3 linked regions of the Struthio camelus genome follow. The protein of the gene in region 1 interacts with the protein of each later gene in a pairwise test. Links are inferred from orthologs where the notes say so. Each region holds a gene or a part of one and is shown on either strand. Other genes may lie near its edges.

The links.
Region 2: the proteins of STK4 (region 1) and RASSF1 interact in binary tests that used the Homo sapiens proteins (3 or more experiments, as listed by UniProt). The link is inferred for Struthio camelus from reciprocal best matches to the Homo sapiens genes STK4 and RASSF1.
Region 3: the proteins of STK4 (region 1) and SAV1 interact in binary tests that used the Homo sapiens proteins (3 or more experiments, as listed by UniProt). The link is inferred for Struthio camelus from reciprocal best matches to the Homo sapiens genes STK4 and SAV1.

What each region holds. Positions count from the first base shown.
Region 1 is NC_090959.1:7,812,925-7,820,190, reverse strand, and holds the start of STK4 (serine/threonine-protein kinase 4), read left to right. Parts: upstream 1-4,183; 5' UTR 4,184-4,283; coding exon 4,284-4,315; intron 4,316-6,535; coding exon 6,536-6,616; intron 6,617-7,266. Other genes in the region: TOMM34 (mitochondrial import receptor subunit TOM34), read right to left, coding at 601-745, 1,026-1,180, 1,869-2,021, 3,766-3,877, 3,958-4,078. UniProt on the Homo sapiens protein: Stress-activated, pro-apoptotic kinase which, following caspase-cleavage, enters the nucleus and induces chromatin condensation followed by internucleosomal DNA fragmentation.
Region 2 is NC_090955.1:23,904,080-23,910,999, forward strand, and holds the start of RASSF1 (ras association domain-containing protein 1), read right to left. Parts: upstream 3,100-6,920; coding exon 2,829-3,099; intron 2,554-2,828; coding exon 2,429-2,553; intron 1-2,428. Other genes in the region: ZMYND10 (zinc finger MYND domain-containing protein 10), read right to left, coding at 5,141-5,231, 5,538-5,663, 5,908-6,029. UniProt on the Homo sapiens protein: Potential tumor suppressor. Required for death receptor-dependent apoptosis. Mediates activation of STK3/MST2 and STK4/MST1 during Fas-induced apoptosis by preventing their dephosphorylation.
Region 3 is NC_090946.1:80,909,237-80,916,144, reverse strand, and holds the start of SAV1 (protein salvador homolog 1), read right to left. Parts: upstream 3,018-6,908; 5' UTR 2,812-3,017; coding exon 2,718-2,811; intron 991-2,717; coding exon 544-990; intron 1-543. UniProt on the Homo sapiens protein: Regulator of STK3/MST2 and STK4/MST1 in the Hippo signaling pathway which plays a pivotal role in organ size control and tumor suppression by restricting proliferation and promoting apoptosis.

The sequences.
Region 1 (7,266 bases):
AGCTCTTAACCACCCCCCGGCACAGCACAAAGCTGGAACCAAACGTTCTTTATCCTAGAAATGATGTACTACAGGAATTTTGAAGCAAATGTTGAGCTCAAGAAGCAGTTAAAAAGGGAAAAAGGAAAGTCTTTCAGTCTGCAAAAAAATAGTTTAAGAATATTTTAGAGTGACTGAGAGCCTGCACTTTAAGGATGCAATTTTCTAGCTGTACCAGCCCAGAATATGCTCTGCTTACTGCAATTGCTTTAAGTATGCCAGAAGAAGTACTTTGACTGTTTGAGCACAGCACTGCACGCCTTGTGGTTTTTGGGGCACAGACACTATTCAAAATAACAAAGTCCAGGCAGATATGCATTAAAGGGGGGGGGGGGAGGGAAAACTCAGCAGCCCTAAGCTAAGCGTCTCCCAGCATTTTTTATGGCATCTGATCAAAGAGGAATGTTGATAAAAGCTAAAGGGAAGACTGCACTTGGAGGAACATGTGTTTTTCTTATTCATTTGTCTGGGAGCAGACATCAGACAGCTTTGTCAGGAGTACCACAATGGCTTTTATAAAGGGCCAAGAAGTACTTAGGCAAAGAACTGTCCAAGTAATACCTGTTGGTGTAAGTTGCACATTCCTTTTTGAGCTTTAAACTCTCACTGTACTTCTCAATTGCTTTTTTATGGTTTCCTTTCTTCACAAGTTCATTTCCTTCTTCCTTCAGAGTTCGAGCTCTCTCAGTGCCAGCAGCAGTCTGGTCTGGAAACAACGTGAAAGAACACAACACACTATAAAACTGGTAAGAGCTGAGCAGCCTCTCAGAAAGCAAATATCGCTATACCAGAATTGAGGCACAGAGAGACCAAAGGATCCAGAATCAACCAAAAAGGCTGTGGCAGAACCAGGAAACAAGTCCAGGTTTCTCCAGGCCTCAACCACAGCTGTAGACATGCCAAGCAGGTATGGCAGCTACCTTGTTCTTCATCACCTCTCTCTGTGCTCCAGGGCTGTGTGCACAGCCCAAGTAACACGCTCTCACCTGGTTTTCCCAGAGGTGCAGTTTCACAAGGAGTGGTCGGGCCTCCTGCAGAAGGAACATTCCATCTCGTCTGGGCAGAAATGGGGACTGCGGGGATCGGAGGGAGCTTCTCACGCCAATTCACACCATCCTTCTCCAGCAGGACTTTGGTCATTCTGGAAGAGACAGCTAGGCAATTACTGTGTCTGTTGGCAGAATGGGCCATGCAGTGGCCAGTGGGGAAGCCCAGCTTTTTAACCTGCCTCATGTATTGAGGACTGCATCTCTCCACTAACCCCTTTGCATACATCTAAACTAATCTTTTGTCAATGAGATATTAATACAAGGAGCTTCTCTGCCTCAGTGAGGCCAAAAATATCCTAGGATAAGGGCTGGGACGGTCAGAGCTCAGTTGAGCAGAAGAGAGACTTTTGTGTCATTTCTCAGACAAACAGCAGAGCGAAGCAGACAGCTCCAGGAAAAGAAAATGACAGCCCATCAGCCCTGCCTGCATAGGGAGGCCTGATGAATAGGATACTGGTGCTTATAGTTCAGTTTAAATAGGCATTGGTAAAAGCCAAAACAGTTAGAGGGAATTCATTCCCAGCCCTAAACAATGGCCCAGGAGCTTGAAAGGAACTAAGTACAATAAGGACATTAGCACCTATCACCACAAGCAGGAAGTACGACCAAGCCTGAACTTTGCACAAAGCATCAAAGGCTTCAGTTATTTTATTAGGGTGCTCAGGACCCTGCTTGCTGCTGACATAGCTGCTTCCGTGAGTCTCCCTGTTTTGCAGTGAACTAAACTGCTATATTCTCAAGGCCTTCTTCCAGAGCGTACAGTATAGTATTTGGCATTACCTGTTGACACCATCGTGTGCAGACTGTATGGAGCAGTCGATCTGTAGCACAGTCTTGTAGTCAACATAGGCCAGCTGATACCTCTCCAGAGCCTCGTAAGCTGCTGCCCGCCTGAGGAGGGGTTTGATTCCAAAAGGGACCAGTTCAAGGGCACTGTGCCAGAGGGGAGAAAGCAAAACAGGCCTATGAGCCACCCAAAAAACTGCATTCAGAGAGGCAGCTTTGGAAAGTCAGGTATCCTCACACGGGAACTACAGACCTTGTCTTATGAACCACATTTTCACAGGCCCAGTCTTGCAAGTACAGAACAGTGAGGTGTCAGAATCTTTGTTTTCATTTCAAATGATACTGGACTGCAGGAACTGATCCTGAAGCAGTGAACTTTTTCTGTCCTGTCTCATTTCCAACATTAATATAATTACTGGTGACAGAGGAAAAAAAAAACGAATTCCCTCCTCCTGTAGAGCAATCATAAATGAAGGTCTGCTTTGGGGGCTATTCTTAAAAACTTAACCTGCATATCACAGATGAGTGGTGTTTATCCTGCTCCACACCAGCTAATAGCTGCTCTTCTGTAGGACCAGGTTGTTCATGCTGTTACGAGCTGCTTATTACAGACAGACATGCATATCCATTCTGAGGAATAAAGACTTACACGTCCCCAGTGAAGTCACTGGTAGGGCTGCACAAGAATCTCCCTCAAATTAACTCCAGAGAGCTGTTAAGATTTTAAGTCAGCAATCTCATCTTCATCACTAGCAAATACTGGCATTTATCCTCAAGGGTAGCCATATCCAGTTCCTGCTTTCAGCACAAGACTATAAATTATGAGCAGCATAAGCTGTTCCAAGTTCTGCTGTCCTTCTCATAACCTATCTCAGGCCTGGTATTCTCTGAAGAGCAAGTCATACAGTTAATTATACAGTGCCATTTTCTAATGCGAGTTCCTTGTTATAGATCTGTTTTGGAAAGAGTCATTGGAAACAACAGGCAACCTGAGCCACCTGGTGCTACTCCCATGAAACTCCAAGCCAGGTCTGGCACTTGGCTGCACTCACCAAGTCACTCCAGATTTACAGCAGAGGTGCTGCAGACACAATCAGCCCCTGCTCACTTGTGCTACCAGGACGAAAACAGAGAGACCAATGAATACTAAAGCTACCTATGAGAAGAGGGTCCGTTGACGCCTCTCAATGGGGAACATATCTTTTCCTATCCTTTCTTGCTCAAGGGCTAGCAAGTCCCGAGGACTGCTCCGATCAACAGCAGAAAGCCAGGACACGGCCACATGGCCACTGCTACTTGCGGAGGGTGAGCGAGGGGAGGACAGATGGGGCAGCCCCGCCACCTGCTCCGCTCCCCCTAGCCCCTGGCCCTGGCCTTACTTGGGGTAGGGGTAAGGGAGGAGAACGCAGTCAGGCCCTGGGCAGCAGGGCCCCCCTAACCCCTCCAGCTTCCCTCTCTGCCCCATTGCAGCCCCCAAGGCCTCACCGCCCCCCAGGGCCTCCTCAACCCCCCCCCCAGCCTCCCCTCAGTACCCCCTGAAGGCCTCCCCGATCCCCCCTGCCTCACTGCCCTCCCCTCAGCACCCCCCAGGGCCTCTTCAACCCCCTCCTCAGCCTGCCCTCAGCACCCCCCCAGGGCCTCCCTGAACCCCCAGCCTGCCCTCAGCGCCCCCCCCCAGGGCCCCCCCGACCCACCCCCTCAGCCTGCCCTCAGCACCCCCCAGGGCCTCTTCAACCCCCCCCCCAGCCTGCCCTCAGCACCCCCACCAGGGCCTCCCCGCCCCCCCCAGCCTCCGCTCCTGCCCCCGTGAAGGCCTCCCGACCCCCCGCCTCACTGCCCTCCCCTCAGCGCCCCCACCAGGGCCTCCCCGACCCCCGCCGCCGCCGCCTACCGGGAGCAGTCGCTCACGCAGAGCCCGCAGGCGCCGTCCTTGAGGTGGCAGGCGGCGCGGTTGGCGAGCAGCACGCTCCTCTCCGCGGCGGCGGCGGCGGAGGCGGCCTCCCCTGCGGGCGGCACACAAGCGGGAGGGGGCTGCGGCGCGGCGGCCCCCTGCCCGCCATCCCCACCCCGGGACGCGCGGTACCTGCGGCCTCCAGCAGCGCCAGGGCCCGGCTGTAGAGGGCGGCGGCCGGCCCGTACTGCCCGCGGCGGAACTCCTCGTTGCCGGCGCGGCGCAGCTTGCTCACGCCGCCCGCCGCTTCCATGGCGCCGCCCGCCCCCGCCGCTCCGCGCAGGCGCCGCCCGCCTCGGGGGCGGGGCCTCCGCACAGCCCCGCCCCGCGCAGCCGGCGGGCCGGGGCGGGGCCGGGCGGGGCCGGAGCGCCGGGCGCGCCCCTCCGGCTTCCGGCGGAAGCGGCGCGGCCGGTCTGTCATGGAGCGCTGAGCGCCCGCGCCGCCGGCCCGCCGCGCTATGGAGACGGTGCAGCTGCGCAACCCGCGCCGGTGAGCGCGCCGCGGTGGCCGGGCGGGGTTCGCCCCGCCTCTGCGTGGCGCTGGGCGGGCGGCGGCCCTGTGGCGCCGTGGCGGGGGGGGAGCGGCGGGAGCCCGGCGGGCCCTTCCCGTGACGGGAGGCGGCCGGGCTGGCTGCCGCAGCTCCCCTTCCTCTCGCCTTTCCTCCCGCGGGGGTTGGCGCCCGTCGGCGGCCGCGGCGGAGCGTGGGGCCGTCAGGCGCGGCGAGCGGCGGAAGCTGCCGGCTCTGCCCTTCGCCGCCGCGGGCAGCCGCCGTTTCGCCGTCGAGCAGCGACGGGGCCGCGCGGGCCGGGTCGGACGCGCGGCCCCGTTGCGTTAGGCCTGGGCCAACGCTGGAGTGCTTCGCGGCGCTTCGGGCGCGCGTGGCTCGGTGCTGTCGCCGTGCCCGTGGCGTCACCCGACGCGGGTAACGGCGGAGAGCGCCCGATAACGCGGGGCGAGCCCCGAGCGGGCCCGCGCCAGGCAGGCTCGAGGCGCGTTGGTGCCGAGTGGCAGTAAGATGTTACGTCGGCTCTTCGGGCCCGGTGAGCGGGTTTGGACCTGTGAAAACTCTAGCCGGCGTTACACGATCGGCGTTTCGCCTTCTTACTTTTTCTTTTTTGGTGGCCCAGGCCTCGTTTTAACCTCGGCACAAAGCATCTGCCAACTGCAGCACCGTTTCTTGGTCTCTTTGGAAATGGCGGCTACTGTGGTTGCTTCTTTATTATTTATATATCTTTATTATATATGCTTTTTCCCTTTTCTCCTCTTCCCACCCCTTCCTCCCCCCCTGTTTTCTTAAGGACAAGTAGCATTTTGGTGGTTAATGCTTATCTGTGCAGAGAAGCTGGTGACTACTTTCAATATTTCGCCACTTCCTGAGTCTGCTTCTTTATAATGTTTCCTTCACTTCAGGAAGCCATTGTATGTACTCCGTGCGCGTACTGCTCCTCCTATATGGCTTTTGTGCATAAACATAATAGCCAGGGATCAGTGAGTGGTTTCTCAATTTACTTTTGAAGATATGGGGAAAAAATTGCATACTTAGTGTCAGAACTGCGATGCCTCTGTTTGAGGCCGTGATGTTTAACAGTAGCAGTAGAAACTTTCATTAGTTCTGTGTCGTGGCAGGCAACCATGAATTAACGTTGCTTGAATGTAAGACTAAGAACATCTGGGAAATGGTTCTTAGTTTGTCTTCTGCAAACTTGTGTGAGCTGGTTTGAGGTTTTCTTTTTTGGGCTTTTTTTCCTTTGGTCTTTCATATAAAAGTGCTATAGCACTTGTTTGTGGACTGTTGGATAGTTAGTAAAATGGTTTGTTTTGGGAACTTTTTGTCTCCCCCTGCCCCCTTCTCCCCCTCCCCCTTTTTTTTTTTATATGGTCCTTAGCTGTTGTATGAGGTTTCTTGATCAGCAGCTCAAAGTATGGTCAAGGTGAACTGAAAAGAAAGGAATGGGTTTGCTTGTTGCTTTGTATATGGAATTTTTCTGAAAGGTGTGTGGGATGTGTTAAGTGAAGGATCACAGGGCATGTTTGTACAACTGCATGTTTTTTTTCCTGGGAAGTATTTCAGCTGACTCTTCTTAGCAATAAATCTAAAAAGAGGGATGGAATGAGCAATGTAAAGATTCTAAAAGAGTCAGAACCCAGTTCCCCCCTCCTGCATATTCTTTTCCTCGTATATGCCCAGGCCCACAAAGCCAAGATCTGGATTTCTGATGTTAAGAGTGTACAAGTAAGATTAGTATTGTCTCTTTCCTCTCAACAAAAGTGTCCCTTACATACAAGGGAGGGATCTCCCTACAAGGTGTCAGAGAAGATCACGTGTCCCCTTTGCATGGCCTTGGTACATATACTGCTATACGAGATTTTGAGCTTTAGCGGGTATGTTCAATAACTAAGAAACATTGCAGTGCTACTGTAGATTTGACCACCAACATATAGGTCCTGAGATATATTCTGATATCTTAAAGAACTGACTCTTTGTTTCCGCCAAGATCTGTGTGCCTGATTAAACTTTGTTGTCTGTAATTTCCAGTCCTCTTTTTCTATTAGGTAATAATATTGTTTGGTCGTCTGATCAGGTGAAATAAACTTGCTTCATGTTAAGCCTTGCGTACACTTAAGTGGAATTATTTATTCTCTTGTTTCAGCGGAGTCTACATTGTCATAAAATTAAATGTAATGATTTCTGTCTTCTTACGTATGCAGGCAGCTGAAGAAGTTAGATGAAGACAGTTTGACCAAACAACCTGAAGAAGTATTTGATGTATTGGAGAAGCTTGGAGAAGGGTGTGTGTTCTCTTACAGCTTGCTCAATGGGTGTTTTTCTGAGAACAAATACATATAATGGCTGTTTTCGATGTTCTCTGATTTTTTTCACTTTTGTCATGATCTTATTACCGCGAAGGTATGCGTTAGCATGGCAACTTTACTTGGTAGGTAATAGAGTAAAGTATTTGTTTTCCAGGAGTGAGATGTCTTAATCCGGACAGTGGCTTATGATTCAGCAGTAGAGACCCCAAAGCGTTATTGAAATTTGGCAAACTATAGTTGATAGGGCTGTATGGGAACTCCAGAGGTCTTGTAGAAGACTGCTAACTCTTGTAGAAGATCCACACAGTAGAATTGAACTTGCCTTTCCTTGTGCCACTTGCTAATGCAGAGCAGCTTGGGAACACTCAGGGAATGACAGGTTTGACTTCTTACGTGGCTTATTTGTAGAACTGAGTAAGAAATCTTGCTAGCTGATGTAAATAAAGAGAGTGAAAATAATATAGATCATAGCTGACAAGAACAAGTCAAACTCTTTGAGCAGAGCAGTAGTTCTTGCTGTTGCTCAGCTAGTACCATGTTTTGGAAAAAGGAAAATCATATTTGATGGATTTGTTGTGCAAAAGGCCGTTCCAAAGCTATGGGCAGTGTAGTGATGGTTAGCTCCT
Region 2 (6,920 bases), on another chromosome or scaffold:
CCGCAGCCCTGCCCCGGGCCGGCCCCGCGCCGCCTGCCCGCCCCGCACCAGCCTGGCCCCGGCCCCGGCCCCGCTCCGCTCCCTGCCCCGCTCCCGGCCCGGATCAGCCCCGCTCCCTGTCCCGGCTCGGCTCGGCTCAGTCCCAGTCCCGGCTCGGCTCGGCTCGGCTCGGCTCGGCTCAGCCCCGCTCCCTGTCCCGGCTCGGCTCGGCTCAGCCCCGCTCCCTGTCCCGGCTCGGCTCGGCTCAGTCCCAGTCCCGGCTCGGCTCGGCTCAGCCCCGCTCCCTGTCCCGGCTCGGCTCGGCTCGGCTCAGCCCCGCTCCCTGTCCCGGCTCGGCTCGGCTCAGCCCCGCTCCCTGTCCCGGCTCGGCTCAACTCAGTCCCAGTCCCGGCTCGGCTCGGCTCAGTCCCAGTGCCGGTCCCGGTCCCTGTCCCGGCTCGGCCCGCCCCGCCCCGCCCCGTCCCGTCCCGCCGCCGTCGGGCTGACGCGGGCCCAACGCGTCACCCAGCGCTGATTTCAGCCCCGCCCGGCCCCCGCCCGGCCCCGCCCCGACCCCGCTCCCGCCCGGCCCGGCATGGCTCGACCCGGCATGGCCCGGCATGGCTCGACCCGGCATGGTTCGGCCCGGCACGGCCCGGCACGGCCCGGCATGGCCCGGCATGGTTCGGCCCGGCATGGCATGGCCCGGCATGGCACAGCCCAGCATGGTTCGACCCGACATGGTTCGGCCCGGCACAGCCCGGCATGGCCCGGCCCGGCATGGCCCAGCATGGCACGGCCCGGCATGGCCTGGCATGGTTCAGCCCAGCATGGCCCGGCATGGCTTGGCCTGGCATGGCCCAGCATGGCACAGCCCGGCACGGCCCAGCATGGCTCGGCCCGGCATGGCCTGGCATGGCTCAGCCCGGCATGGCACAGCCTGGCATGGCACAGCCCGGCACGGCCCAGCATGGCTCGGCCCGGCATGGCCTGGCATGGCACAGCCCGGCACAGCCCAGCATGGCTCGGCCCGGCATGGCCTGGCATGGCTCAGCCCGGCATGGCACAGCATGGCTCGGCCCGGCATGGCCTGGCATGGCTCAGCCCGGCATGGCATGGCCCAGCATGGCCCAGCATGGCTCGGCACGGCCCGGCCCGGCACAGCCTGGCGTGGCATAGCACAGCCTGGCCCAGCCCGGCATGGCATAGTACCACATGGCCTGGCATGGCCCAGCATGGCCTGGCCTGGCATAGCACAGCACGGCATGGCCCGGCATGGCATAGCATGGCCCAGCATGCTATAGTGCATAGTGCAGCACAGCCCAGCACGGCATAGCACAGCCTGGCACAGCGTAGCACAGCCCAGCCCAGTATGGCACAGCATGGCAAAGCCCAGCCCGGCCCGGCATGGCCCGGCACAGCCCAGCACGGCATACCACGGCACGGCTCGGTATGGCATAGCATGGCAAAGTCCAGCCCAGCCTGGCATAGCCAAACACAGCCCAACATGGCATAGCACAGCCCGGCCCGGCATGGCCCGACCCGGCACTGCCCAGCCTGGCACAGCCTGGCATGGCCTGGCACAGCCTGGCATGGCCCAGCATGGCACAACCCGGCACGGCCCGGCATGGCACTGTCCGGCATGGCACAGCCTGGCATGGCCCAGCATGACACAGCCCGGCATGACACAACCCGGCACGGCCCGGCATGGCACAGCCTGGCATGGCCCAGCATGACACAGCCCAGCATGACACAGCCTGGCACGGCACTGTCCAGCATGGCACAGCCCGGCATGGCACAGCACAGCCCGGCATGGCCCAGCCTGGCACAGCCCGGCATAGCACAGCACAGCCTGGCATGGCCCAGCCTGGCACAGCCCGGCACGGCCCGGCATGGCACAGCCTGGCATGGCACAGCACAGCCCGGCATGGCCCAGCCTGGCACAGCCCGGCATGGCACTGTCCAGCACGGCACAGCCCGGCATGGCCCAGCCTGGCATAGCACAGCACAGCATGGCATGGCATAGCATGGCCCAGCATGGCTTGGCATGGCATAGTGCAGCACAGCCCGGCACGCCATAGCACGGCACAGCCCGGCATGGCCTGGCACGGCCTGGCACAGCCCGGCACGGCATAGCACGGCACAGCCCGGCATGGCCTGGCACGGCCTGGCACAGCCCGGCACGGCATAGCGCGGCACGGCCCATCATGGCATAGCGTGGCAAAGCCCAGCCCAGCACAACACAGCACGGCCCGGCCCGGCATGGCCCAGCACGGCCAAACGGAGTCCAGCACGGCATAGCGTGGCACGGCCCGGCATAGCACGGCACACCCAGCGGGGCCCGGCCCGGCCCGGCATGGGCAGCCCCTCGGGGTGCCCACACCCCTGCCCGCTCCGCCGCCCCCAGCCCCGACCCGCCAGCCCAGCCGCCCCGGGGCCAGACCCCTACCACGTTGGTGTCCTTCTCCACCGCCTGCTCGGGGGCATCGTCGGCTTCGCTCCCGGGGCCCCGGGGGCCGCTGCAGTCCAGCCGCACCAGGGCCCGGCACCGGTAGTGGCAGGTGAAGCTGCAGTCTGGGGACGGGGACAGGAGCGCGGGGGGGGGGGTCAGCGGGGGGGGACCCCACGGCGGCCGCCAGCACCGGGGAGGCCGGGGTCGCTGCCTGGGCTCGGGCGGGAGCTGCCGGCAGATCGCTTTCGGGCGCTGGGACAGCGCCGGCCGCCCCGGAGCCTGGCAGCGCTGCGCTCCGGGCCCCCCCCGCGGCGGCGGGGCCGAGCCCGGCGCCGCCTCCCCACCCGGCTCTGCCCCGAGCCGCGACCCCGCGGCCGTGCCCGGTGCCGCTACTCACGGAGGCACTGGAGGCTCTTCCTGCGCACGCCCCAGATGAAGTCCCCGCACAGGTCGCACCAGGTGTGCAGCCCCCGGCGGCGCGGCTGGAAGCGGTGCCCGGCGCCCGGCGCCGCCGTCAGCCGCGGGTCCCGGTGCGCGCCGGCGGGGCCGGCCCGGCGGGCCGGGCTGATGCGCAGCGCGTTGGCCCGTTCCAGGCGGCCCCGGCCCGGCCGCGGTTCCGCCTCCAGCTCCCGCAGCTCGATGAGCTCCGCGCCGCCCGGCCCGGCCATGGCCCGCCGGCCCCGGGCGCTGCGCGGCGGCGGGGCGGGGGCGGCGGCCGCCGCAGCCGGGACCGGAGCCGGGGCGGGGACCGGCCCGGGGGCCGCCCCGTCCGGCCAACGAGCCGGGAAACTGAGGCAGCGCCGCGGCCGCGGCCGCCTCTGGCGTGGGTACCCGCAGCCGGCGGCCCGGCCCCCACCGCGGCCTCCTGGCGGGGGGCGCCGGCTGAGCCTGCTGGCAGCCCTCCCGCCGGAGGCGGCCGGCCCCAGCCCCGGAGCTCGCTCCGTCGGCGGGGTGAGCTCCGAGACGGCGGCCGGGGGCGCACGCAGGGTCCGAGCCAGAAAGAGCCGGCGAGGGGGTCACGGCGGTGGTGGTGGGGGGCGCGTGGCTGGCGGAGCTGTTCCCCGGGAGGGGAGGCCGCTGAGGGGGTGGCACGGGCCCACCAGGTCCCGCGGTGGCCCCGCTGCCACCTCGCTGTTCCTGAGCCTGCAAGCTGGGTTTCCCTGGCCCGGGGCAGCTCCCGGAGAGCCGTCACCCAGGGCTTTTCCTCGGGGCCGAGGCAGCCTCGCTCTGTGCCTCAGTTTCCCAGCGGCGAAGCGGGTCGGCAGCGGCACTTTGCAAACCGCCTTCTTGCATCGGGTGAGACTCAGCCAAGCGCTGGAGCCCGGGAGCTCGGGGCTGCGTCCTCGCTTAGGCTTGGCGCGCCGGACGCGCGGCCGTCTCGCGCCGAGACCTGGGGTTGCGCTGCCTGTCTTTCCCGGGTGCTCTTGAGCCGCTCCGGTGCCTGGGGACTGGTGTCGGGAGGGGAGGGGACTTGCCCCGGCCTCAGGGCGCAACCGAGGCAGAGCGTGCCCGCGGCAGCGAGCCCCGCGGAGAGCTGCTGGTGGCTCCCGCCACGGCGTTCAGCTCCTCCCGTGCGTTCAGTAACAGCAGCGACGGCGCTGGGATCCCTGACGGGGCACGCGTTGCCAGCCCCCCTCGCGGGGGGGGGCACGCGGCCGAGAGCCAGGCACGCCTGGCAGACGTGACTTCTGCCAACGCGGCCCGGCGTGCCGGGGCACAGGGCGCGCGTTGGCTCGCCGGGGCAGGACGGCTCGCAGATGACAACAACCCAAGAAGCTCATCTGCTTTATCGTCGCGAGGTCTTCGTGCTAACCACTTCCTCCGCCTCCCTTCCCCCATGCTGCTCTGTGAGGGTGGCTGACCAAAAAGAGGTGGTGAGGGGCCGCCTCCCACCCCGGCCCCGCTGCGGGCTCAGCGCAGGGACAAGCACGGACCCCGGCCGGAGAGGACTCGGCCGTTTCCGTGACCACACTGGTTCTCTGGGATTTCTTTGGTGGCGCGGCATAAAAACTGACGCCCAAAGCACCCCAGGAGCGCACGGCCGGGGAGGAAGTGGTTTATCATCTTCGGCGCGAGATGCGGGAGGGAGCTGAGAACCCGCGGGGCGCACAGAAACTCCTGCCGCTGGCGGGAGAAGGCAGCGCGGCGGGGACAGGAGAGGCCGAGCTCGGTGAGGGGCCTGGCGGCAGGAGCGCTTCGAGCATGGCTGGCGGGCAGGCAGGTCGGCCTCGCGCAGGGCGACCGAGGCAGCAGCAAGCTGGCTGTTTCTTTCACCAGGTAACGCTCCGAGGTCGAGAGCTGTCTTCCAGAAGCAAGCGCGCTAAGTAGTTCCTGTTCCGAGCAGGGAGGGGGGTTCAGCTGGACGAACCGGGGCTGCAGCACCCTGCGCTGGCGGTGACCGACGTGGGCAGGACCGCGGCCAGCCTGTGCCTCGCTAGAGCAGGGGCAAGGCCAGGAGGGTGGCTGCAAGAACCGCCCTGCGTCACCCTTCCGGCCGCTCCGCCAGCTCCCAGCGCCGTGACCGCAGGCACTATCGCGCCTCCCAACACCCCCTCGCCACTGCCCCAAAAGCCCGGCGCACCCCAGGGCCGAGGGGAGCGCCTGCCCCCGCTCTAACTAGGGACCTTTGCTTGCTTCTCCTCAGTTAGTTGAGCTGCTCGCAGGGGAAACCTCTACCTCTCCAAGCCCCAGGTCGGGCTCCAATCGCAGCTACGCTGTCAGGTCGTCCGCTTGCTTTGGCGCCTCAGCCATCAGGTTGCAGGCTGCCTTGTGCTTCTGCCAGTGCTGGACCTGGCACTCCCTGCAGAGGGGAACACCGCTGCTCAGGGGGTTCTGCCTCCAACCGGGGCGCCCACAACTCGAATAGGAGCACAGGGCCTAGTCCGGCCTAGCGAGCTAACCGGTGACAAGGAACAAAGCCTGCCACGAGCACCCCTCTGCCCACCGGGTAGCTGGGAGGAAGCAAATTCCTGCACAGCTCCCAAGGGAGGCAAGGCTTCGGGCAGCAGATGGGAGCCCGACCACCATCGATGGCTTCCCTTGGCCCTTTCGCAGCCTCCGCCGCTCTGGTCTGCGGGGAGGCACTGGGGACAGCAGGACCCCTTACCGCGTGCAATACCACTCGTTCCGGCAGCGAGAGCACCGCTTAGCCGCCTCTGAGCCGCACACCCTGCATCTGGGCTTGTCGGGGACGAGAGCCTCCATCAGGTCCAGGCTGTACGTCTGCGCCCACCTGCATCGGGTAGAGAGGGGGTGAGGCTGCCCACGGGGACTGCCATCAAACGTCGAGCTGTCCTCGGCTGCAGCCTGCCACCGAGGAGACAGACTGACCCTGCTCCGCTCACAGCTCTCTCCCTGGCTACTACCACAGACCCCTTTGTCCCCCCAGTGCTGAGCGCCAGCTTCTCTAACCGGGATGCTGGCTACTGCTGCGTGCAGGTGGCAGGAGAACGGGCTGAGACGGGCCAGGGCCTTACCTGCGTGCCTGGAGCTTCAGCTCCTCCTCGGTAGGGCTGAACATGCGCTTCACCTGGTGCTTGGCGATGGCCTCCCACTTCCCTGCGTTCTTCTTGAGAATGTGGTCCCAGATGACAGGAACCTGTTGGGAGAGCCGGAGCAGCGAGCAAGGGGTGGTCACAGTCAGATCTAGCACGCTGCGATCCTGGGGCAATCTGAGCACAGGGGAGCAGCTTCCCCAAGGCACAAGGAGCACGTACCCCCGGGAACGCAGACGGAGGCACCCAGCTTTTGAAAAGACTCTGCGCCCAGGTCTCCGAGAGCACCTGAGGCACCTGGCTAACGCGGATGCTCAGCAGATGTTGTGCCCCCCTGTGCTGCTGTGCCTCTCCTACATCTGCAGCGCTCTCTCGGAGTCCCCAGCCCAGGAAAAGGGAGGCAGAAGCCTTCGGGCAGACTCATTTGCCCAATAGGGGCACTAAGCAGTCAGAGATGAAACGAGCCAAAGCCTTCAGGATCTGGCTGGGAGCAAGAGTTCAGCCACGAGGCCTGGGCTCCCAAACAGAAAGCCCTCTGATCTCACTGCTCCGCTGAGCTGGGGCTCAGGCAGCAACTTGAACCCAGCGCTCCAGAGCCTTTTGTCTGAGCACATTTTTCCACTCATCACTTCCCTGAACACAAACACCAGGAGAAGGGCTAGTCAGTGTGAAAGAGAAAGCACCAGCCAAGAGTGGCGTGTGGAGTTCAGGCTCTGGAGGGGAAGATGCTGCTTCAAACAGTGCTGGCATCTCTAGTAGAGTAAAAATAGCCAGGCCTAGAAGGGGAGGAGGGCTGCTCTGTAAGAAGACGCATGGAAAAAGGCTTTTTCTTGGCCTGGCTCAGTGACAGCGAGTGAGTTCACTGCTTGCCGGGCAGAGCATGGAGCCCGTGTGTGCGCTTCCAGCTGGCTCCCCCTGCCTTGCCTGCGGGGCTGAGCCCTAGTCCTCCTCGGAGGCACGAGCAACGCCAGCACAAAAGGAGAGAGATGGAAGAA
Region 3 (6,908 bases), on another chromosome or scaffold:
ACAGATGTCTACTAATGAATAAAATCCTTGTTTCCTAGCAATGCAAGAGTGAAAACACAATTTCCACAATATTACATGCAAATACAGATAAAGTTATCTAAATCAACAGTATGCCTCAGAATATTACTCTGTCAATAACAAGAAAAACCATCCACAACAATTCATAACCTGTTCACTCTTACTTGTTAAAGGCAACGAATCTAATAAACATTTACACAACTTTTGACAAAGCTGGTGATATCTAATATTGGTCATTAAAAAAAAACTTGCTCAAGCTTACCTCTTTTATTTTATAAATAGCCCACTGTTTGAATATATTTTTCCTTTCTCCTTAATACACGTGATCTAGCTCTTTATTCTAAGAAATGTAAACAAGTAGTAAAGTCAAACAACAGAAACATCATTAAAAAGAAGCTCCAGCCTGTACAGTATTACATTTAAAATATACGACCACGAGCATCCAGAAGCACTTCTGCAGCCACTCTCAAGAAGACAAAAGAAAAGAAAAGAAAAGAAGAGAAAGAAAAATAAATCAATACTTACCTGAAGTGTGCCTCCCATGATTCTGTGACATCCTCTGGAAAAGATCACTGTTTTGTTCATAATACCTGTAGTCCTCATGTACGCGATCATTTAACTGACGCCTCCTTTGGGCATCATAAAAATGATCATAATAATAACAACGGGCACCAGCATCTCCATTTTCCATAGCAGAATTAGCTTCTGTTAAAAAGGATTGGGAGGAAGAGCCATATTCTCTAGGGACATCAGCTAAACTTCTTGCAAGATAGGAAGGTGCCGACAGTCTGTTGCTTTCACGTCTCATTATTTCATGAGGTGGCCTCTGAACTGGAGTTCTAAGGAAACTCTGGTTTCTGGAAACAATTCCATCTCCTCCAGAAGCATATACAGAAGAACTTGAGTCAGGAGGACAGATATCAGTTCGTCTTGGAATGGTTGGACCATGACGGATAAATGAAGGCATCAGATCTGTTTCAGGATAAAACCGAAATAAGAATTTCAGCTCCACTTGCACAAAATATCTGGTTAGCTGCAACACTGATTTACGCTATGATATTCAGGAAATTCAAAAGCCAGAACCCCTTTACAGCGCCTCTAATGCAGAGGCGAGTACAGTTGTAACGCTGCAGTTTGTATTGGTACAACAAAACCCATCACGCTCTCCTCTAGCAACGGAAACAATCCCCCAAAGAGCACAGTTTTGCCAGTACAACTGCATCTGCAAAAAATAAACTAGTCACACACTTTTGCCTGTGGCTACATCAGCCAGGCTTCACACCTCTTTATCTACTAGAAACATCAAGAAAATCTAACTCTCCTGGCTACCAGTCTACCACCTTATTGGGACCGCTGTCTTTATGAACGTTGAGTAACTGAATACATCAATGCTTACATGCTTATAGGACTCCATGACAGAGCCAGGAACAAAATTTGTATATTTTCCACATATAACAAAGCTTAATCAGCAAAACGTTGTCATTTTGCACGTGTAAGTTCTCAAATTAACACGAAGATACCTCATTTTTCTCCTTTATTTAAAGGGACACAAACACTGATAACTATTCAAGCAATTTCACTGCTTCCCTCCAGTATATGATATACTCCTTGTTATTACTTTCAGCACGGCGTGAATAAGTAGTTTTCCTGCAGGTGAGCTAACACAAACTACAAGCTTCGTTTATGAGCAAGCCATGCCTATCATTTACTATTTATAAGCAAACTCTTATAAACGTATAACTTAAAGCAAAATTTCAGTGCATCGCGCAAGGTGTAATCAGTAATTTTGTAACAGTCGTTACAACGCAGTCATGTAATAGCTGGTCATTAATTCACAGCAAATAGCATAAGCGCGTAGAAGGGGTTGACCCATTAGAAACACCAAAAACCTAAAACAAAAAAGAAAGAAAGAAAGAAAGAAAAAAAGAAAAGTAGTTCTTTTTTTAAAGCCTAAGCCTGTGAGGCTGCTAAACGATTTTGCCTGTTGGTTGGGGAGCGGGTTGTTTGTGCAGCAAGGACTTCCAGAGAAGCCGAGCGCCTGCCTGCTCCTGCCTGCCGCTCAGCTGTTAGTCGCGGCCTCAAAGCTAACCTAATCCTACCATTACAGCACGATGCGCTTCAGTCTCAGTTTGTTTTCAATACTTTCTACGCGCTTCCGCTATTCTCCTGTAAAACCCTAGCAAGAAGGAAGCCGCAGCATTAACGCCAGGTTAACGGGATGAAGACTAGCGCGGCCGAGGTATGTAGGAGTGACCTCACCACGTCGGTTCACCGTTAAAACCGGAGCACTCGCTTCCGCAGGGATTTTACGCGACTGGCGTGGACAGTTACCTCATGTTCAAGGCGCACACCTTTTGGCAGCCGACACAGCCTGGCCTGGGAAAAACACTGACTTTTGGAAAGAGCTGAACTGCCCCGTTCACCTCAGGGAGATCTGTCTGCGGATGATCTTAGCCCTGGCCTCTTGAGACTGAAAAAAGTTGGGACTGAAAAGCTTAAAGAAAAAGTTTGTTTACTGTGTGGGTACGCCTCTCTCTCAGGTTTAACCTCGGTCAGGTCTCGCTACCAACGGGGCGATTTTTTTCCCCGTTTATGAGGAAAACGCCTCAAAACAGCCCCTAGGATCCGCCGGGCCGCAGGCAGGCTGCGGTGGCGAGCAAAGGGCCGCCCCCACCCCCGCCGCCGCCCCCGACACTCACTGCGAAGCAGCGGGCTCGTCTCCTTCTTCACGTACTTGCCCTGCACCTCGCCCGGCTTGGAGAGCTCCGTGCGCGTCTTCTTCCGCGACAGCATCCCACCTCCCGGCCCGCCACCGCCACCGGGGCCGCGCCCGCATGCCCGGCGCCGCCCGCCGCTCCTCAGGGCTCGGCGGCCCCCCTCAGGCGCGGCGGCCGTTGCTCGGTGCCCGCATGGCCGCGCGCCGCCGCCGCCGTCAAAGGGGAGGGGAGGGGGAGGGGCGCTCAGCGCCGCGGGGCGGCGGCGGCTCGCGCCGCCCGTTGGGCCGTGGCGGTGGGGGGGGGGGAAGGGGGCGGGGTGCGGCTGGGGTTGGGGGGGGGGGAGTCCGCGAGGAGCCGCGCGCGCACGCGCGTCGCTAACGTGCCCCGCTCGGCGGCGCCGCGCGCGCGCGCGCGCGGGCTTGTGGGAAAGCGGCCTCCGCCCTCCCGGCGCGGTGCGGGGGGGAAGCTGGTGCTGTCACCGCGCCCCCGCGCGGCGGGGAAGGGGCGCATGCGCAGCGCTGGCGGCGGAGGCGGGAAGGGCGCGCGCCGCCGCCTCCACCCCCCCCCCCAACCACCTCAGAGCCGCTCCCTCAGGGGCGGCTGCCGCCAGAGAGCCGCCCTCTGCTTGCCACAGGTATCACCTCCCTGCCCCTCGCATCAGTTACCAAACAAACATTAATTTTAGTTAAATGAAGGGAAAACTGAGTGCCTCCTGTGTTACACCCATAAAGGCAAAGAACGGGTATGCGACTGCTGTTGTTCTTAAAAAGCTGGTGCGATAGTGAACCTACCTCTTACACCGCCCACTTTTTATTTTATACTTTAAGGCAGCGAGGAACTACCGTCCTTTCTGTTACTACACTTTACTCATGTACATACTTAAGAATTTTCAGATAGCATGTGAAATACCTACAATTTCCATGGGTAGATAAATTGGATTAAACCAAAAAAACAAGCAGTGAGCATACAGAAATTTATTCTTTTTACATTCATAAATAATGTACAAGTTGTTTTACCTTTGCTTTACATGATGTTATAAGGACAGTATATTACACTGAAACAAAACAAACCTGATAAGGAAAAAAATATACAATTGTTTTTTCTTTATACACAAGTCATTTGTCAGCAATGACAGTGAGAACAGGAGACTGTAACAGGTAAAACCTGGGAGACAACACAGCACAGTTATAACAGTGATGTCATTTGTTGAAAGCAAAATAAAGGCTTTTAGTGTTCTTTGATAGAGCCAAACCATCCCCTTCTGCAGCTCACATGTAATCTGTAAATGGCTAAAATCAAATACGTTACAATCCCTTTTTCAAACAGAATTCAAATAATTTAGTTTTCTTTGAATTTAAATGAATATTTGTGAATGTGTGGCAATGTATGCTTTTATACCATTCTAAATTGACAAGTAGTACTTCAGCTGTGTAGATTTAATTCACAAAAATTTGACTCAGTCATATACTTCCTCTTCCCTCTCTCAGAAATCTCAGCCACAAACATCTATGTGCCTCTATTTTCACAGTGATTCATAAAGCAAGAGTTAAAAACATTTAAAACACCTTTTGGTAACACAGTAGTTAATATCTTAATTGTCAAGATCTGTTGCGTGAACAACGCTTAGGAATTCAATAATTTTTGACTGCATGTTATGATACTGTTAAATACTTTAGTATCTTTAAAATCCCTACACTGCATAGGAGACACTCGTGCATGGAAGATCACAAATGCTTAAGAGTTTACATGTTTATATGCTTATTTTCACTAGCTTAGACTTTGTAACACTTGCTGCTTAACTTCTGAGCTGACGTACTCAACCAATATACAACACAACACTTGTTTGTAAGCAGCGCTACCTTTGTCTGAATTCACTCCATTTGGGAAAGGATTGTCCTGAATTGTTCTGTAGCAACAGAAAGTACAGTACAGAAAGAGTCTAGAATATGTAATTATAGAAGGCACTTTTGAGAATTGACACAAATATTCTACTGAAATTGGAGTCTGTCTAAATAAAATATTTACCAAACATTCTCTTCCTCCTCCATCCTCCTCCTCCTGTTCTCTTCCGTGGTTAGTTTAGTTTTTTAAAGCTAAGTGAAAGAAAAGTAGGGCAAAAGAGCATGGGTTGAGAAAGGGAGAAGTCGAATTCCCTTTTCTCAGTTTCTCCTTACTGTTCCAGTATTATCATTGTATCTGGGCTCCCTTTTTGGCACTGTGTTTTCGAAACGTCTGTATGTTTGGTTAAAAACACCATAAGTACCAGGAGATTAAAAATTAGGTGAGTGAGTAGTCTAGCCTTTAAAATGAGTTATTTCAAAATAATTCCACAGGAGTTTAAATACATACTCATTCCCTCTGTTCAGTTTTCACACTTTGGTCACATACTGAGCCCTAGAAGTAAACCTAGGTCAAGATGTGAAATAGCTTTAAACAGTACTATCTAATAATGTTTTTCCAAGTATAATTCTGATCATCTGAACATCAGCTGCAGTGCTGCCTGGAAATATTCTTAAGCATCGCTAATTTTCTTAGCCTAGGCATGGTTTTAATATTGCTAACATACAGGCTGGGTACCTACACAGTGTTTTTTTTTCTTTTTAGTAAGTGATACTGTTTATTGATTACTATGAGAAACAAAATGTTCCTGCTTCAAAATTGAAAAAGAAGCTCCAATTTATCTCAATACAATTTTGAATTTTTAAAAGCTTTTGCGGACTGAAAAATGGGGTATGTAAATCTCAGAATTTGAGATTACTCAGAAAAACGGTCAGTACAGGTATTTAGAATAAGACAGTTATGAAATAATGTATAAAGATTATGTTACTCCAAGGTATTTTTCCATTATTGTTTTGATAAATCTTTCATTTTTTGAAAAAGATATACTCCTGTATACTCACTGTGACCTTTCAACAACAACAAATTGCACAGATTCTTCATAATTATTTTTACATGTGTCTTTATGCTCCATTCTTGCATGCAGGTGTAAGAAAAAAACCTGATATATCTTACATTCTTTTTTTAATAGGCCTTATATTGCTTGCATAAAGGAAGGGAAGAGGAAGGGGGAAGGAGAAGAGGAGGTCATACTCCATATGTATATTTCAGTCCCTTAACCCTCCAATTAGCAGGTAACTGTTTAGACATAGATAGCATCCCCTAGAGCCACACACTAATCAGTACCAAATGACCAATTTTCTGCAGGTGACTCAACAGCTCATAGGCAGTCTTATCCCAGTTTCTAGGGGGCAGCTGGCTCATTACAAATGCTGTCATAATTGTCACCTTGCACTAGTGGTTTCAGAGACAAAGCATTTTACCCTCTTCCTCTGCATACACTATTTATGCAGAATATATTTAAAGAGGACCAGTTTCAAGTAAGGCCAATATGGCTCCTTTCACCAGTTTTATTTACACTGTTTAAAAATCTCTTACTGCCCTGACAGGGGCAAGGAGCCCGTATAGGGAACGACAGCATCTTTATTTAGACTGCAGCAATGGGTTATACAAGCGTACAAGCTCTCATTCAGCTGTTTATGTCAGACCTATCTCAAATCTTGAAGCTGTTCCCAGAAAATTTGTATTCCCTAGCCTCATAAATTGGTCTGATAGGAGATACTACTTGTCGTTACAAAACCTTGCTGCTCCTTGACCATCATGACTACACCATTAGTGCGTGTTTGTCTAGGAGTATCATCAGGTAATATTCAACCAAATACAATTTGGTTTATCCTGCTTTTCCTAACGCATGTTTATTTTCATCTACTGACATTAATATCCATGTTTGTAATAGTGCAGGAAACTAGTTGAGGCTGTTATTCCCTGAGTTTTTCATATTCACCTTGAATGTGTTTCCTCACAATTAATTACAAACTTAGATTCTGTATTAGCATCTATTGGAAACAACAGGCCTTATTCAAATGATCACTCAAGTCAAACAGAACACTGCATGAACGGCAGAGGTCCCGCTCTGGCAGCCCTAATGACAGGATTCCACTGAAGAAATCATTTAGGTCTCCCTCTTCATTCTTCTGTGAGTTGTTTATTAAACATACTCCACTGCTTTAATGAGTTTACAAGTTGTATAAACACAACTCATGTCTTCACTTCTGTTTGGTGATTCTTCCATTGTTTAGTGTAACTTATTTCCACACACAGAAAATTTAAGGCCTC